3 linked regions of the Arabidopsis thaliana genome follow. The protein of the gene in region 1 binds, or shares a complex with, the protein of each later gene. Each region holds a gene or a part of one and is shown on either strand. Other genes may lie near its edges. The genes, in order: RPL27, RPL21C and PSRP6.

What was found.
Region 2: RPL27 (region 1) and RPL21C share a complex: the UniProt entries of both Arabidopsis thaliana proteins name them as parts of the 50S ribosomal subunit.
Region 3: RPL27 (region 1) and PSRP6 share a complex: the UniProt entries of both Arabidopsis thaliana proteins name them as parts of the 50S ribosomal subunit.

The regions. Positions count from the first base shown.
Region 1 is NC_003076.8:16,408,988-16,412,653, reverse strand, and holds RPL27 (ribosomal protein large subunit 27), read right to left. Parts: upstream 1,873-3,666; 5' UTR 1,789-1,872; coding exon 1,486-1,788; intron 1,187-1,485; coding exon 1,085-1,186; intron 1,001-1,084; coding exon 809-1,000; 3' UTR 540-808; downstream 1-539.
Region 2 is NC_003070.9:13,206,961-13,210,718, reverse strand, and holds RPL21C (Ribosomal protein L21), read right to left. Parts: upstream 2,037-3,758; 5' UTR 1,943-2,036; coding exon 1,628-1,942; intron 1,318-1,627; coding exon 1,237-1,317; intron 1,004-1,236; coding exon 902-1,003; intron 794-901; coding exon 719-793; intron 563-718; coding exon 473-562; 3' UTR 291-472; downstream 1-290. Other genes in the region: CDPK2 (calcium-dependent protein kinase 2), read right to left, coding at 2,661-2,801, 2,887-3,111, 3,195-3,362, 3,434-3,549, 3,648-3,758. UniProt on the Arabidopsis thaliana protein: This protein binds to 23S ribosomal RNA in the presence of protein L20.
Region 3 is NC_003076.8:5,905,515-5,909,048, forward strand, and holds PSRP6 (plastid-specific 50S ribosomal protein 6), read left to right. Parts: upstream 1-2,074; 5' UTR 2,075-2,233; coding exon 2,234-2,623; 3' UTR 2,624-2,950; downstream 2,951-3,534. Other genes in the region: CSA1 (disease resistance protein (TIR-NBS-LRR class)), read right to left, coding at 3,360-3,421.

The sequences.
Region 1 (3,666 bases):
TCTTCTTAATTACTGCTCCTAGAATTTAAAACTTCTCATCAATTACTATTTTTGCTCTAGGCCTTTAGTGTTATTCAATAATATATCGTCATCTTACATATATATATCGTTACATACATGTGTATAAGTATTTGACCTCAAGCTGGTGAAATATGGCCTAAAGATAACACAAAGGATCTAATATGGTACAGGTAAAACGTTAGCGAAATTGATGGATTCAAGATGAGCAAGATATAGATAAATGAAAAAAAAAAAACATAGAATAATAATTTCATTCCACTAATTATGCAATGATAGACGAAAATGAATATTATTCAATTTCTTTTTTGTACCACTATCTACATATTCCGAAATGCTAAGTAATTGGGCTAAAACCCATTATTTCGCTAGAAGGCCCATAAAGTCTTCGGCTTCTTAGACTAACAATGGATCCATTTTTGGGATCCAAATAAGTTTTATAATTTTTATAATAAAAAAACCTCAAATAGACACTTGAACTAGATTTATACTTGACTAAATCTAATTGGGGCATTCAAAGGTTTGGTGGTCTCTCTTATCAATGATTCAGAATTACTAAGTTGGAAGAGAAATTCACTAAATTAAAACCTTTGAGGCTTTGACTAATTAACAATAACCATTTGATTACACTAATAACTCAAGTTGGGTAAAAATCCGCCTGCTTGGGACTCAATTTGACAAAAGAGAGGCTTGGATTCGACAATACAACCAACTCTTAATACTCTGAAAGGATCATTTTTCATAAACAAGACTAAACAAAAAGAGACAAGGAAACTCCACATTCAATCTTCTAGCACTCCGGATTGGCTTCAGCATCATCGACTGAGGCAGATGCAAGAACAAGTTCTGGTGTAGGAAGTGTGTACGAGTAATTCTCGCGTCTCGCCTTCTTCTTCTCCCTTTGCAATCTGAAGTTTTCTCTCTTTCTTGCTCTGTAGCTATTGGGATTCTCTGGTACAATTTCTCTTGGATACACACTTATCTGCAAAAACAAGTCTCATTTCCTTTAACATCCTAGAAGATTAAGAAAGCTTATAAACCTTACTCAGTATAACTACAGGTATACCTTCTTCCTGTCAGGACCAAACTTCTCGAACTTGACTAATCCATCGATTAAAGAGAAGATGGTATGATCTTTACCAATCCCAACATTTTTCCCAGCATGGAACTGCACCAAACATCACCATTCATGAATCAATCTTCTCAAACAATATAGTTCCATCCTAAACACAAACATAACGTAGAACTTCCAGAGAAATGGCAATGGCATCAGAAACAAGAGCTACTAAATACGAAAATTCATCCTAAACCCAGATGTGTTCGAGAATGGAATCTGAAAACAGAGCTTGAGAGCTAAACCCATAAGAAACTGACCAAATTGACAGAGTTGCGGTGAAATTAGAAGAGAATTGAAAGAGGAGCTTAAGAGGTTCTCAATTTCAACAATTCTGTGTTCTTAAGTGTTACCTTAGTGCCACGTTGACGAACAATGATAGCACCAGGTTTAGCAACTTGGTCACCGTAGATCTTGACGCCGAGTCGTTGCCCAGGAGAATCACGACCGTTCTTGGTGCTACCAGCTCCTTTCTTATGGGCCGATTCAATTGTCAACGGAATCGGAGCTTGAAGATTTTCCAGAGGAAGAGTCACCGTGAAAGAGGTTTTGGGGGAAAAACTCAAATCGCCTCTAAGAAAAGACGAAGTCGAAGAAAGAGACAAGCCTTTGAATGCCCCAATTAGATTCAAACTCATCGATGTTGCCATCGCCATTGGTAAAATCACCAGAGAATTCGTTGGAGTTTCGAAATGGAGAAATTAGGGTTTTCTGAGGTTGAAGAAGAAGTTCTTCTCCTTATCGTTTCGTCTCACTCTCTCGATTAGTGACCACTAAAATTACACGTCATCAAATAATGTAAGATAAGGTGAGTACACGTCAGCAAGTAAATAATGGAAAAAGAGAAAAAAGTGAATGTTGACAGTGGGATTTGAACCCACGCCCTTTCGGACCAGAACCTTAATCTGGCGCCTTAGACCAACTCGGCCATATCAACTTGTTGTATAAAATATTAAATCTAAATATATAGACTACAGTTTCAAATATTCATTATATAGTAGAAATTTCTCAGATAAAAACAAAAACCAAACTTAGAATAATAATATGCAAGAAGCAGCCAAAAATAATTATAGACTTTAGCTATAATATTAAAACATAAATTAGGATTTATACTGACAATGTCACTCTAAAAATTATTTTTACATTGGCGGAAAAATGTAATTTTCTGATTTGGCAAAAAAAAAATATTATTTGATTTTGACATGTTTTTACAGTTTTGACCGAAAATTAAAAATTATATTATTTGAGTTTCATAGACTGTCTAGTTGGTTAGAGGAGAAAAAAGTATTATGAACAAGATGAGAGATCACTATGACTCTCCTGTCATTAGTAGCAAGCCTTAAATAATGTTTGGAGATTTTAATGAGATTTTAGAACTTGTGGAGCATTCTAGAGCTGAAGACAACCCTATTATACCAATGGAATGAGAGACTTTCAATCAGTGGTAAACTATTGCTTTGTTTGAGACCTATCATCCCATGGTCCGCTGTATACTTGGTGTAATAAGCGAGAAAATGATCTTATCTTAAAGAAGTTGGATAGAGTTATAGAGACATGGACACAAACTTTTCTTTTTGATTGGATGGAAAGTCATAGGAGAGTTATAGTGATCTCTCATCTCTACTAATTGTTTATGGTTTTCATATTTATTGACAAAAGTATCTTTCAAAGACCTTCATTGTTCTTGAAATTCGACGATGAAGGTCTTTGGAACGGTAAATGGTAATTGGTTGTTTATTCTCTTTTAGTTATGTTTTCTATATTTTCATTTCTTTCTGCCTTCAAAAGAATTTGATATCATGTCTGTTTCCTATTCAATTTGCCTACTAATGATTCTCTCTCATAGAATTATTGTGAACAGCCACTAAAATATTTTTACCATAATCGACATGCTTTCTTATCATAAGTCACTACACCTACTTGGAAATGAACACTGGATTGTTTGAAACAAATGCATATTTCGAAGGTTGAGTTAGAAAGTGATGTAAGATACTTATGCAAAAACTTAAGAGTAAGTCTTGCTAATCATCCAAAAGACCATGAGAAAATAACATTTTTATGTCGAAAGGGGAGGATTCTCTTTGTGCTCCCTCTGCCAATAAAGAGGCAAAACCAATATAGCTAGAAACCTAGCAATGTTCTTAAGAACGAAATATATAGCAAAGTCATTGGCTCCAATCCTTTTTGGATTTGGGTAGACCCATGTAATTACTAGGATCCGGATTAGTTATATGTTAACCATGTAAAAACTATGTTAAATAATTAAGAAATTAAATGTCCATTATCAAATTAAACTTCATCTGTTTTTCATTATACTGAAAATTACAAAACTAAAAATAAAGCAAGTAAGCAAAATCTAAAAATCCTCGTCAAGCTTGAAGACATGATCATCATTAAACGCAGCGTTTCCATGAACACTAGACATAACAGAAGCTTTCTGATACTCACCAACTCTCTTCTCAAAAAAGTTGGTCTTACCCTGAAGCGAAATCAATTCCATCCAATCAAAAGGATTAGTCACACCATACACCTTA
Region 2 (3,758 bases), on another chromosome or scaffold:
TAATAAAAAAAACTCATTTCTCAATTCCTCATCAGAAAATCACCATAATACATCTCACACTATTGGTGCACATAATGTCTTTTACTAGAAAATCGCAACAACATATCAAAATTTTGTCAAAAACATATCAAAAAACACCATAATGTCTTTCATGTGTTTGTGCCTTTGCGGACGGAAAAATGTTATGGACGGTCCCGTCCATTTTCAAAATCTCAATATCAATTTCTGTATTTCTGTATTGTGTCCACTGAAGTGGTAGAAGTTGTTTTATTCTATAAAATTCATTAGTATGCGTAGATTGATGGATGAGCTATATTGAAGTTTTCATACACTAACTTAGAATTTGTGATCAAAGAATGGCAAAAGGTACATATTAATAAAAGGAATCTCAGCAGAAATGAAATGACCAGGGTCCTTACAAAATTACATAGAGAAGATCAGAAAAATTTTAACATTCAAGAAACATTTTGTGTCAAAGATTTACTTCTCCAACTGCAACATTGGGCGAGGCTGGATACTCTTCATACCCTGTGATTCCGGTAATCCTAATCCTCGTATTCGGCTACAATATCAACACATAAGTCACAACATAAGTGTCATTACTTCAAAGAGATTTCAGTTTCATCAGCCATAGCAAATTACAACAAGTAACTGATAGTAGTCTGTTGATTGTAACATTACATAGTTCAAATATAAGGAAGAGGACTTTCAGCAATACCTGTCTGTGACCGATATTTCTACGGTACTTCTTCTTAGGCTTGTACTTGAAGACTACCACTTTATCATTCAAACCCTACAACAACAAATGACATTCCGGTTATTCCAAGTTTAGAGGCGACTACATAGTCGAAAATACAAAACCACCAATCAGAAATTTAAGAAATCGTTTGTATTGACTTACTTGACTTTCCACAACAGCATGTACAGTGGCATTGGTCACAACCGGCTTGCCAATGTAAGTGTGTGTCTTTGTTCCAACAAGCAACACTTTGTTGAGAACAATCTGCACAAGAGAAAAAACAAAATATGAAAACTTCAGGAATCACCAAAAATGCAACAGAGAACAGCTTAACACAATGTTAACATAGGCAAAAGAATAGAACTTCTACACAAGCCACAAAGTTTACTCAATCTTCCATAGTTACATCATCTTTTCACAGATATACCATTTCGTACACAGAGTTTTTTACAAAGAAGAACACATCACATAGTCATTGAAAGCAAATGTGCATATACCTGGTCATCAACATTTGCATCTTTTAGCCTCTGAGTGTAGAGATATCTCCCTGGAAACACTATGTATTGGCGTCCACCAACCTATTCAAACCAAAGAGAACAACACTAAGCTAAATCAGAGATTGCAAATGAGAGAAACAAAATCAATTATAACAAAGCCAAACTCTAAACCTTGAAGAGTATATGCCACAAAAACACAATCTCTCCCTTAAGAAGTCAACATTCGTTAAACCTAAACCCTAAATCTTAAGAGTAGATACCACAAAAACACAGTCTCTCATTATCAAAACTCTAAAATCAAATTCATCAATCAACCAAACCTAATTCCGAATTCCAAAAGCTAAACACCGAAATTGAGAATTTGTTGTTTCGTATGATTCAACAAGCTCACCATAATAACAGCGAAAATCTCTTCTCGTTTAGCTTTTTCCTCAGTAACCTCCGAAACATCGGAAACCACCACAGCTTCGATATCGGTAGTCTCCGGTTCAGCTTCGACGACTGATTCCGCGAATTTCGGAGCGACGGTGAATGCGGTTCGAGACGTCGACGCAGTGGAAGGAGAAAGAAATCCAGTCAGAGGTTTAGCCAAATTAAGCGAAGGTTTAGAGAGAGAACAGAGGATAGTGCTAGAACGGCGAGAATTGACATTGCAATGAGCAGAGAAAGTAGAGCAGAGAGAGAGCGTCGCTGAAGAAGACGCCATTGTTTTCGACTGAGAGAGAGCTCTAAGCTCGAGACTTTGGAGCTCGACGGAGAATAAATCCGCAGTGTTATCCTATCCACTTCCTTTGAAAATTACCATTGTACCCCTGTCTTCAAATTGGTTTAATTTCTAAGCTTGCAATTTCGGTTTACCGGTTTATTTCGGTTCAGATTTTGGGTTTTCCAATTAAGTAATATATTATATACACATCAATTTTGGTTTTGTTCGATTTTTGACAAAAATTATAATTCTAACTACTCTTAATCTCTTTATAGTGTTTAGTGTATTTAAATGTACTTTATATTTAATTAGTTATATTAATTCTGAATATTGGTTAATTACAAATTCACCAAATTTGGTTTCAATTTGAGATTTGGTCTGGGTTGTTATAAGAATTTAGATTTGGTTTGGGTTGTTATAAGAATTTTCTACAGTTTCACAGTTTGTATTATAACAAAATTACTTATGAAATCCGATTTTGGTTCGGTTCGGTTTCTTTTCGCCATCCCTAAATCACATTTCTTTGGAATTCAAAAACTTTTATATGAAGCAAAAATTATCCATATGAGGATAAAAATTTAGAAAGTTGCTCATGTACAAAAATAAAAAGGAAAGCAAAAAACAAGCCAGAATATATTTTTGTATCCTTAGAAATTAGAATTCAAAATATAAACGAAATTAAAGAGAAAAAAAACAGAAATTGTGGAAGAATGATGAGTCAGTCATCAGATTTTTCACCATCAACTCCAAAAGCATCAGCAATGTTGAAGTTCAAGTTCTTCATCATGGTTCTGCTTCTCCCAACTCCATCTCCTTTCCTCATCATTGCTGTAAACTCCGAGAAATCGATCTTCCCGTCCTACATAATTCAAAAGCTCTCGGTTATAGTAAAGTAACATTGAAGAAGGAGGTAAACAAAGAGAAGAAGAAGAAGAGTGGTTTACATTGTCAAGATCAATCTCCTTGATCATGTCGTCCAGAGGTGTATCACATAGACCAAACTCTGTGCAAGCTGACTGAAGCTCATCGATGGTGATATAACCGCTTCCGTCTTTGTCAAAGTACGAAAATGCAGCCACCAGATTCTCCTCTCTCTCCATCTTGTTCATGTGTAAGGTTGCTGCTAGGAATTCTCCGTAGTCTATTGTACCACTGTTGTCGATATCAGCCTGTGACCACAACACACAGAGGATGTTAAACGGAAACAAAAGTTTTTGAAAAGAGGAAAGAGTTTGTTTTGGTTCTTTCATACCGCATCCATGAGAGACTTGATTTCTGATTCCATCAGTTCAGATCCGACTCTCTTCAAACCCGCTTTGAGCTCTTCAAAAGTAATCGTTCCGCTGTTGTCTGTGTCTATCATCTTGAACAATTCCTTCAGACCTCCAATTTCTTCCTCTGAAAGTCTCTCAGCAATTACCTGTGTTCAGAGAAATCAGCATACGGATTGGACATAAAGAAAAAGCGAATGTATATTACTCGAATTCATACCCGTAATGCCATTTTCTTAATCTTATTCATTTGAGAAAACTGCTTTAGACGAGATAAGACTGCTGGATCAAGAGGCTTGTCTGGTGCTGCTTGTTCATCGACAATCCATGGGTGACCTATATAACATTCAGAGCAAACTCAATACTCATTATTTACCATAAAAACAATTCACAACAGTTGCTAATTCCAAATGAACAACAAAGAATGAACATACACAAGGCTTCATGAGCAGAAATGCGTTTCTTGGGGCTCCTTTCGAGCATTTTATAGATCAAATCTTTAGCAGCTTCTGAGATAGTAGGCCACGGGTCAGATTTGAAATCTA
Region 3 (3,534 bases), about 11 Mb from region 1:
TTACTCTATATTGACACAACGTTACTTTGTAGTCAGATAAATATTTATGCAACGTAACCGATATTTCTATTGAAAACTGTTAACATTTTTTAACATGAAATTATTATACATTTCTATTAAATAATAATCGATCGTTTTTCATAAAGGAAAAGCTTGTTTTACGTATCTTTTAAAATTTTCTAGATAATATATAAATATTTCCGACCAAGATCAATTTCCTTTAATTAAGGTCCGAAATAAAAATATTGATAAACAAAAAAAGTATCCAAAAGATTCCTGGTATATTCATTTAGCTGGCATGGCTAGTGCAGTACAAAATACAAACTCTAATTCCAAGAAAACAAAATAACGCAATAATGCAAAGTGCAAACGGACGAGAGCAATCGATTCATATATGGTTCTCTTCTCGATGTAATGCAATCACATGACTAAAACTGGCTCAAATTAGGCCTTTATACAAGACACTTACCTGTAAATAGACTAATATTTGTTTATATAAAACCATCAAATAATATTGTAAACAAATATATATATATATATGTATGTATGTGTTATATATATGTATGTATGTGTTATATCGTGTATAACTATTTAATTTGTTTAATTCACTTGTTCGATTGTATCTTCTTCTTAAACTTAAATCATCTTTTGGTTATATGTGTGTGTCTAATAACTATGTAATCTTTCTTTCAATTCTAATAAAATAAAACAAGATGTTAAAAAAAAAAAAACTATTTAACTATCCATGGTTGATGACTCGTACTTAAGACAAATAATCAAATTTCGTGATTCTAAAAATGAATGAAATTGATTGATATATAAGTGGGATTAGAAAAAAAAGAGTCAGATAAGTGTTATCTCGCGGTTATAATTTCAACGGTGCTAAGATAAGGATAAGGTTTGCGAAACTATATACTAATGCAACAATGGGTACCGTAGGTTTGTGATACCTAATTTGATCTAACCAACAGAATCTCTTCGTACTAGTGTAATCGAGTGGCTGAGCTGTTGATATAGAGATACGTAGTACTATTATTGTAAATAAAGAACCCAAAGAATCAAATTTGTCGACAACAAAATAAGGGGTGATAATCCGATGCACGTGGATTTGGTGAATGTATTGGATAATGCTAGTCACGTAGAAGAAAGTAATCTTATTTTGGGCCATAATTTTAGTAAATGTTTTTGAGTCTACGTAAAGAAGAGTAATTTTCATGGCAATCGCAATTTTCGCTGACAATTGATTATTTTGATATAATGTGAAATTGGTTAGGTTGGTGATAGTAGCTAGTTTGAAGCCTAACTTAGGCTTGTTATTGAGGTATAATACATTATTAACCATAAGTATTAGACAGGTTTTGGACAAATATATTTATTGGTCGCTTTGGCAGCATTGAAAAACCCTAAAAGCCACTAGAATGGATGTCTTCGAATGTCAGTTCACATAAATGTTCGCTAGCTTAATTTTATTTTCTTTTTTAAAAGAGAGGAAGCAATGATAACATAAACATTTTTATAGTGTTTTTTTTGAAACAAAAAGTTAGTTTTCTTCCTCAAATTCGATAACTAAATTACACCATAAATGAGAATATGTTTTTAGTTAAGTAGTTAAATCCATTTGATTCTACCTTTTTTACCAGAGTTTGACTCTACTAAGTCGTGTTACTTCGCATAATAAGGATTGACTATGAATCGTGTCTTGTTTATAAAAAAAAGAAAAAAAAAATTACACAACAAAGTTAAGAAAATTCAAATTTATTAATTTAATAAGCATACTTTGAATATAAATAAATCCTAAAACTCAAACTAATAAAAAAAGTATTTTTTTGTGTAGTATTAAAAGATGCAGAATCCGAAATAATGTATTTTATTGTAGAAGTGATTCAAAAGACCTTATCTCGTAGTCACTTGTAGCATTATTGGTTTAAGGTTAAAGAAAACATTTAAAACTCTGTATACATCATACATGACATCTTTACAAATTGCAAAATATACATTTTTAATCAGCTACTCTATTCTTAAATTCCTTTAATTAACGAGGTTATACAGTTCGATACGTTTAAGCAACAAAAAGTTCGATGCCACTAATAATTTAATTTTTGTTCTCTTCTTATCTTATAGATTGTTGCAGCCTGCAGGCTTGCAGCATAACGAGTTACATAACTATATACAAAGGCCCAATAGACACCTCAAAGGCCCAATAAAAAAGCCCAGGAAAAACGAAAACGAAGATATGAAGTTCTTCTCTAATCCGAAGCAAGAGGCTCAAACTCACTTTCACTTGCACAAAGATAAGGAAACCATGTCTGTGTCAGCGATCTTTGGTACCGGAATCGTCACCGTTGCTGCTTCTCCGGTTCTCCGCCAATTTCAAGTTCCAAAATTGGGTAATGGAGGAGGATTAGGGATGGTGATAGAGTGTTCGTCGAGGCCACAGAAGAAATCGACGGCTCATCACAGGAAGACGAGGCCGAAGAAGACTCAGCCTTGGGACATTAAGAGAAAGCCTACTGTTTACGCTCCTCTTCCTCCTCTTCCGGCGGAATGGAGTCCGTTCACTCTCGCTTCTGACGACGGTGGTGCTGCCACTGCTGCGGGAGATTTGGTTTCAGGCGCTGCCTAGTTGGTATGAGTTATCTGCTGATTTGGTTGTAATCTAGTTTGAGAACTTTTGTTGTTGTTTACTGTGTTTTCAGTTTTCTGATGTTTGTTGTTGGGTTTGTTTGTGTTTGATTGGTGAATGAATGGACCAAATTTGCGATTTATAAAGCTTCAACCTTTCTCCTCTGTTTTTGAGTTTAAAGGTCTCAACTTTATAGTTTATAGCTCTCGTCATTGTCATCTATGTTGCTTCTCTATAATTGCTTTTTTCCTTTTGGGTCTCATTAATTTCTGCAAGTAGTAATTGAATTGGGATGACAAGAGTTTAAGTTTGATATGTGAAAATGAAAGCACAATGGTATCTGTTTTGTGGCGGTTGATGCTGGAGTTGTTGTCAAATGCTCTGTTTGCTGCCATAGCAATGGGAATGTAGCTTCTAAAGAGTACGGTATAGTATACCGCATTATTGGAATTTTAAAATTTCCCTTTAGATTGGATTCAGGTGAAACGGCAATGTGCTCTGCTCACCATAGTGCAACACTTGGTCTAAACACTCTATTGTAGATTTTTAAGCCAAGTGATCTAAAGTGTGTTTGATGAAGAGTTTCAGCAAAAACATTTTTAGAAATGTTTATATCAGTTATGGGTTGATCACTCTGATTCTTGAATCTATCTTGTATCGGTCTAGTCCCAGGAGAAATTTAGAAGATCGATTTATCTTGCATTGCATGTTTATGGAGTCAATTCCAAGATCAACATCAATGGCTATACATTTCATAAAGCACGCATACAGAGTACATCCCGTTGAACCCATTAAACCCTGACACCTTAAAAGCTTAAGTCAAATCATCTGGAGAAATACACAATGAAGATACAAATACAGAGAGTTCGAAAGAATAAATAGTGTGAAAACAGAGGCAATCTATGAGTTTA